2 linked regions of the Cricetulus griseus genome follow. The main gene of each other region encodes a partner of the protein of the gene in region 2 in a complex. Links are inferred from orthologs where the notes say so. Each region holds a gene or a part of one and is shown on either strand. Other genes may lie near its edges.

Region 1 (4,036 bases), about 120 Mb from region 2:
TACATTATATAATATATATATGTATATCAGGTCTTCCTGTGTGTGTTTTCCCAATTGGTGGTTGTCTCCTCTTTGGTCAAGGTGAACTTTTAATGGAGTTCATTACTTTCCTCTCTGTACAAAGTTAAGAGCCTAGTTTTGTGTGTTCTGGTGGCTGATAAGAGATTTTGAGATGACAAAATGCAAAACAAAAACCCTTATTAATATAGAAAGTTAACTGTGCAGAAAAACTAATAAAGAAATGAAGTGTATGAGTGTGTCATGTTTCCTGGCTGTCTCCGGCTCGGATGGGTGGAGGGTAGCAATTGTTTCTGTATATCTTTATACCTTCAGTGCCTGTTACACACATTTTGGTGGGAGTGAGGATTGCATGGTCTCATGCTGTAGCCCAGGCTGGCCTTGAACACTCATTGAAATCCTGCTTCAGCTTCCTGGGTGTTAGGATTATGTAGGCCCCCCTTGCCTAGCTTTTTGTTTTTCCTTTGGGGTGATGGGGTTTGAACCAGTGTGGTCACACACGATACTCAAGGTTCTACCATGAGGCCATATACCCTGATTGAGACACGATTTACCGATCCTGACACTAGTTCTCGGTGTCACAGATGAGGAAATAGCTTAGCCAGTAAGACCTCTTCAAAGCAAGGACACACCACTTTTTTTTGCTTGGTTTTTGTTGCTTTGAGACAGTTTCACCCTAGCCTAGGCTGGACAGGAACTCCCAGTAATACTTCTGTCTCAGCCTCCCAAGTACTAGAATTACACTGCCAACTTATCCACGTTCATTCACCTGATATTGACTCCTTCCAATGTATGAAAAGTAAAATGAAAGAGCCTATCATCTCTATACAGAAAATGAAAAACGAGTAAATTAGCAACTGTGGATATGTGTGTCTGTTAGATGTAGAAAACATTCAGGCCACTTCAAACCCACGTGCAAACTATCTAATCGAACGAAAGTCGGTGAAATAGATGGTTATCGCTAACAGGTGGTCGGTCACTACCGCGCAGCAGCTAAGACTCCTGGAAGAAACCGGATTTTGTTCCTGCACCCCGCTCTCGGGTACTCGCCCAGAACTAGGCTGGAGGCAGCACAGACCTGGCCTGTGTGCTCGCGGACGCGCAAAGGAGATGTCAAGCCGCTGGAGGTCCTGCCAGAGACGCTTTGCTGCGGGAGGCCGCGGCGTGGGTGCCTGGACCCGAGCTCCGCCCCGTCCGCTAGCATCCAGCGTCGCCGGAAGCGCCGGGAGGACGCGGCGCCTCCCGGCATGGCGGCTCCGGCCAAGCGTGCGCGGGTGAGTGGCGGCTCGCCCCTCACCACGCCCTGCCCGGTCCGGAGAGTTACCCGCGCCCCCCTGTCGCCCCCGGCTCCCGGGCGCGGCCATGCCACTTGTTTCTCCCCGCTGGCGGCGTGGCCCCGCGGTGGCCAGTCCGACGGCGACGCGGTAGCCGGCTTCCTGCGCTGGTGCGCGGGAGTGGGGCTGGAGCTGAGTCCCAAGGTGGCGGTGAGCCGGCAGGGCACGGTGGCCGGCTACGGCATGGTGGCGCGGGAGAGCGTGCAGCCGGGGGAGCTGCTGTTCGCAGTGCCGCGCTCGGCGCTTCTGTCTCCCCACACCTGCTCCATCAGCGGCCTGCTGGAGCGAGGTGGGTAGGGGGGCGGAGGGCTGGCTCCGGGGCTGGCTGCCGGATTGCGCCTGGGCGGGCGTTCACCGGGTGTCTTCCCTAGAGCGAGGCGCGCTGCAGAGCCTGTCGGGGTGGGTGCCGCTGCTGCTGGCGCTGCTCCACGAGCTGCAGGCCCCAGCCTCACCCTGGAGCCCCTACTTCGCGCTCTGGCCAGAGCTCGGGCGTTTGGAGCATCCCATGTTTTGGTGAGAGCCAAGGGAAGGGCTGGGGAGAACCCGTTTCAACCACTTTGCTCAGGGGCAGGCTGTGAAGGGCCCTGGATGGGTTATCCTTGCAGGCCAGAGGAGGAACGGCGGCGCCTCCTACAGGGTACAGGTGTCCCGGAGGCCGTGGAGAAGGATTTGGTGAACATCACTAGCGAATACCATTCCATCGTCCTGCCCTTCATGGAGGCTCACTCCGATCTCTTCAGCCCCACTGTTCGCTCACTGGAACTCTATCGTCAGCTCGTGGCTCTTGTGATGGCTTATAGGTCAGTGTTAAAAGCCTGGAGGAGCAGACCCTCATCTTTAGAACATTGTTGAGGGGGAAGAACATTGAACTCCAGGCCCCTCACCCAAGAGAGGGCCTTAGTTGAATTCTCTCTGTGGCAGCTTTCAAGAACCACTGGAGGAAGAGGATGATGATGAAAAGGAGCCCAACTCCCCCTTGATGGTGCCTGCTGCAGATTTACTAAACCACATAGCCAATCACAATGCCAATCTTGAGTACTCTGCAGTGAGTGAACCCCTATGTGCATAATGAGTCAAGTCATTGTGCTCCATTTTCCTACTTAACATTAAAATGAATGGGTCAGATTAGCTACTCTCCTGTATACTTTGGTATCAAGTGACAGTAAGAGTGTGGATACACGTGGAGTTGGTGGCACACACCTTTAATCCCAGCTCTCGGGAGGCAGAGGCAGGCAGATCTCTTGTGAGTTCGAGGCCAGCCTGGTCTCCAGAGCGAGTGCCAGGATAGGCCCCAAAGCTACACAGAGAAACCCTGTCTCGAAAAAAAAAAAAAAAAAAAAAAAGTGTGGACACGTCTTAAGGCCACCAAAAAAACTGCCTTGCTCTGCCATGTCACGTGAGTCCCTGTGGACAGCATCATGGAACAGCACTGGTTAAGTACTTTTCAAGAGGTGGTGTGTCCATGGGCCAGAGGTATAGTAAGACTCCAGTTTAGTGTCAGTTCTGCATGAAAAATTTTAAGACACGTGTGTGACTAAAAATTAGCAAATTATCTGGGCCTGGTGGCTTATACCTGCAATCTCAAGAGGCGGAGGCAGAATTGAAGGTTCCAGGTCCACATAACTTCCAGCCATATATAAACATTTAAGACATTGTCCCCAGAGGTCAGCAGATAAAACTTTTCACTTATTCCTACTTATGTTTTGATTTCTGGGTGTGCATCACCAGGCCTGATCTTAACATTTTTTAAAGGGCAGATGACTAGGCGCAGATGCACCTGATACACTAAGCTGACTTTGGGCTTAGTTGGCTTTACCCTTCTATAATACGGAGTTTAACAGACAGTGGTATGTAGCCTCAGCCTGTAAGTTTAATAGGCTCTTCTAAAAGGGAAGTAATCTTCATAGGCTGGTGGGAGCTAAGGTGTGGCCTATTTTTCACTTTTATCCCAGGATTATCTCCGGATGGTAGCTACTCAGCCCATTCCCAAAGGTCATGAGATTTTCAACACCTATGGGCAAATGGCTAATTGGCAACTGATTCATATGTATGGTTTTGCTGAGCCCTATCCTGACAACACAGACGACACAGCTGACATTCAGATGGTGACAGTCCGGGATGCTGCACTGCAGGGTGCGTCTGCCCATCCAGGTTCCATTTTACTCTGCTGACAGCACTTGGCTCGCTGGAGTCGATGTCTGCTCATCTCCATCCATTACTTCACAGGAACAAAGGATGAAGCTGAAAAGCTGCTCTTGTGTGAACGCTGGGATTTCCTATGCAAACTGGAGATGGTAGGGGAAGAAGGAGCCTTTGTGATTGGTCATGAGGAGGTGTTGACTGAAGAGGAGCTAGCCACCACACTCAAGGTACAGGGCTGCTGATATTTAGAATAAAGCCAAACTAAAGACAAAGGTGACTCAGTTTTCCTACAGTGGTGTATCTGTCCTGAAGCTCACAGATAGTAGTGCTTCCTAACTGAAGGGCTCCATGTTCCTTCTAGGTACTGTGCATGCCTGCTGAGGAATTCAGAAACTATAAAGAACAGGCTGGACAGGGAGAGGAAGAAAGAGAAGAGGTCAGTCTGGCAATCGCAAATATCCCCAAGCTCCAAGCATCGTGGAAGCGGCTTCTTCGAGACAGTGTTCTACTGACCCTTCAGACCTATGCCACCGACTTAAAAA
Region 2 (3,500 bases):
GGATTAGTGACTGTGGTGACCTGGCATGTCTCAGCCTTAAGCCATGAGGTTCGGCCTGAGTGGGGATGTGTGGACCTGGAAACTCCTAGCAACCCAGCCTCGATAAAGACCAAACACAGGCATCTTGTCATCTTTAGAGAGCTCTCAGTTCCATGTTGTAAAACTGGAGTCTCTTCTCTATTTACCATCTTTTTGGCTGTTTCTTAACCATGCTTCCATGGCCACGAGGAGACCACTGCTGTCCTTCTGTTCTCCTCTCTGGTCGGATGGCTCCTGTCTGTCCTCACTTGTACCTTACACCTAGCACCTAGGCCCAGATGCAGGCCTATTCAGATGCTTAGGCCCATAGAGATGCAAACTAGGAGGCATTCTATACTAAGGCTATTGTAAACAATAGCAGACCTGCTAGCATTAGCAATACAATAGTGGGCCGGAGCTTTCCGTGAAACCAGAGGCTGGACCTCAAAACATTCTATAATGGAACTATTTTGGTCCCCCAAAAGTGATAAGAGACACAAGGTGGCACAAAGTCCACAAAGCTAAGTGACCTTGGTTTAGGTGTGCCACTGCCTCTACTGCTAGTGAATTCTGTTAAATCATTCCCCTAAAAAGGTGATGATACGCCAGGCATTGGTGGCACAGGCCTTTAATCCCAGCACTCAGGAGGCAGAGGCAGGCGGATCTCTGTGAGGCCAGCCTGGTCTTCAGAGCAGAAACACTGTCTCAAAAAACCAAAAAAAAAAAAAAAAAAAAAAACAAAAACAAAAACAAAAAAGGCGATGAGAGGTTAAAAGGACCACTCATAGGAAGGGTAGATACAGTAGACAGAGCTGAATAAGTTGGATGTCAGAGTTAGGGAAGAAATAGATTATGACTATAATTATATGTTGCTTGACAATGGGGGCACAGCCTGGCAGTGGTGGTGGTGGCGGTGGCGCACGCCTCTAATCCCAGCACTCAGGAGGCAGAGGCAGGTGGATCTCTGAGTTCGAGACCAGCCTAGTCTACAAGTGCTAGTTCCAGGACAGCCTCCAAAGCCACAGAGAAACCCTGTCTCAAACACCCCCCTCAAAAAAAAAAAACAATGGGGACACATCTTAAGACATGTTGCTAGGCAAATTTGTCATTGGATGAATATCCATTTTATTATTACCTCTGTGTGTGTGTCTGTGTGTGTGTGTTCATGTAGGTGTATGAATGTGCATGCATGTGTGTACAGATGTGTGTATGAGTATGTCAAAGCCAAGGCTCAATGCCTGCTTATATGTGTGAGCACCTTGTACATGCCCAGTGCCTGCAGAGTTCAGAATAGTGTCAGATCCCGTGGAACTAGACAGGGTGCTGGGAATGAAGCCTGGGTTCTCTGGAAGAACAGCAAGTGCTCTTAACCACTGAGCCATCTTTCCAGCCCCATCCACCTTAATTATTTGAGATACGATCTCACTATATAGCCCTGGCTGGTCTGGAACTTGTAAGGTAGACCAGGCTGGCCTTGAACTCACAGAGATCTGCCTGTCTTTGCCTCCCAAGTGCTGGGATTAAAGGTGTGCACTGCCATGTCCAGCCCACTTCATTTTTTGAGACAGTACCTCTCACTGAATCTGGAGCAAGGCTGGCTGGCCAAATAGCTCTAGAGGTCCGTCTATTTCCACACCATCTGCACGCTAGCTACACACGTTTGCTGGAGTACCCAGCTTATTATATGAGCATCTTTTTCATCTTTTTTGTTTGGTTTGTTTTGTTTTTCAAGACAGTGTTTCTCTGTGTAGCTTTGGAGCCTATCCTGGCACTCACTTTGTAGACCAGGCTGGCCTAGAACTCACAGAGATCCATCTGCTAGCCTCTGCCTCCCAGGTGCTGGTTTTACCTTTTTTTTTATTTTTCTTGAAATTTAAAGATTTATTTTATGAATATGAGTGCTATATCTGCACATAGGACCTATGCCAGAAGAGGGCACCAGATCCAACTATAGATGATTGTGAGCAACCATGTGTGTGGGTGCTGGGAATTGAACTCAGGACCTCTGGAAGAGCAAAGAGTGCCCTTAACCTCTGAGACACCTCTCCAGCCCTGGTTTTCTTTCTCTCTCTCTCTCTCTCTCTCTCTCTCTCTCTCTCTCTCTCTCTCTTTGTTTATATGAGCATCTCAAAGATTACTTACACAAACTAAGACACCTATGTCATTAGACAGTGTAGTTCCTCACCCCCCTCCCCCAGGTCAGAGTTTCTCTGTGTAGCCTTGGCTATTCTGGAGCTAGCTCTATAGACCAGGCTGGGCTCGAACTCATAGATTCATTTCCCTCTGCCTTCTGAGAGCTGGGATTAAGGGTGAGCCACCACTGCCCAGCTAGATAGCGCAGTGTTATATGACCACCATGGCATATGTGGTCTTTGACAGAAATACTATGTGCAATGAACTACAGTATGTATAAATCCTATGTGCTTGTCCCAGACATCCTGGTCTTTTTCCCAGCTGGGGTACAGAAGCCTTGGTACTGCTCTCCCTAGCATCACACCTGTGTCTGGCAGGTACTGGAACTCCATGGGCTCACTGAGCTCCCGATCAGAAGGCCGCCGAAGCTGCATGGAGACACGCACAGGAGCCTGCAGGCTGGGGTCAGCGTATGGAGGAGTCCGGAACACAATAGCCACTTGCCGGTGCACATCAGCTTGAGAAAAGGAGCCTCGTGCTTCCCAGCCTGGTCCAGTGAAATACACCTCGATGTCTTCTGCAGGAGACAGAGTAGTAAGGGTTAGTATCTGAATTCCAATGGACCTTGGTCCCCAACTCCTGATGCTTTTCCCCTGAGACGTCACCCTGTTTCTCCTGAAGCCACTGAGGTCCCTGGCACTCATCACCCTCTCAGCCTCACCCCGCCCCTCGTGGCACACATAGCCCAGTGTGTACCTTTCTGCACTTTGTCACACAGCAAGAAGATCTCATCCCCACCAAGGCAGCTCCCGGAGTTCCGGTTTACTCGGCAGATCTTGAGCTCAGCAGTGTTGGGTGCACCTGAGGATGTGACATGGATGGAAACCCTGAGCCACCACAGGTCTCCAGGGCACCCGACAGGAGATGTAACAGCGATGCCTGGCAAGTCCCATGTCAAGGTCTTCCTTCCACAGCTTGCTGACAACACTTCTGCAGACTAATCCCATCTGCTCTTCACCTCAACCAATTCAAAAACACCTCCTGCTGTGTGTGTGGAGCATGGCTCTAGAAAAGGCAGCAGAGCAACAAAGAGCCCAACGTATTCCTGTCCTCACAGACCTTACAGCCCAAAGGAAACAATCTGACACCTTGTCTCCCTCTGCCTGATCAAACACATTTTCAGCTTTTGGTTCATCTCTACCCTTGGCAATGAGTCTTTCCCTCCTCACTCCCAGTTAATCCTGGTTTCCGGTCCTTGGGGCTCCAAAGGCCTTTTATTTTCAATTGCCCTGCTGCTTACTAATCCATCAGTGTCAGCCCAGGTCATCTGAGAGCTTCCTGTGAGCTGC

Evidence for each region.
Region 1: the proteins of Rela (region 2) and Setd6 are in contact, whole or in part, in a crystal structure (PDB 3RC0), measured with the Homo sapiens proteins. The link is inferred for Cricetulus griseus from reciprocal best matches to the Homo sapiens genes RELA and SETD6. Residues at the interface, in NP_068810.3 of Homo sapiens: Glu307, Thr308, Phe309, Lys310, Ser311, Ile312; in NP_001153777.1 of Homo sapiens: Ser120, Trp122, Val220, Met221, Ala222, Tyr223, Ser224, Phe225, Gln226, Glu227, Pro228, Pro238, Asn239, Ser240, Pro241, Asn259, Leu260, Tyr262, Asn283, Thr284, Tyr285, Met288, Met296, Tyr297.

The regions. Positions count from the first base shown.
Region 1 is NC_048596.1:171,902,358-171,906,393, forward strand, and holds the start of Setd6 (N-lysine methyltransferase SETD6), read left to right. Parts: upstream 1-1,236; 5' UTR 1,237-1,265; coding exon 1,266-1,641; intron 1,642-1,723; coding exon 1,724-1,865; intron 1,866-1,957; coding exon 1,958-2,152; intron 2,153-2,273; coding exon 2,274-2,397; intron 2,398-3,304; coding exon 3,305-3,485; intron 3,486-3,578; coding exon 3,579-3,721; intron 3,722-3,855; coding exon 3,856-4,036. UniProt on the Homo sapiens protein: Protein-lysine N-methyltransferase. Monomethylates 'Lys-310' of the RELA subunit of NF-kappa-B complex, leading to down-regulation of NF-kappa-B transcription factor activity. Monomethylates 'Lys-8' of H2AZ (H2AZK8me1).
Region 2 is NC_048596.1:53,704,338-53,707,837, forward strand, and holds part of Rela (transcription factor p65), read right to left. Parts: intron 3,013-3,500; coding exon 2,908-3,012; intron 2,729-2,907; coding exon 2,516-2,728; intron 1-2,515. UniProt on the Homo sapiens protein: NF-kappa-B is a pleiotropic transcription factor present in almost all cell types and is the endpoint of a series of signal transduction events that are initiated by a vast array of stimuli related to many biological processes such as inflammation, immunity, differentiation, cell growth, tumorigenesis and apoptosis.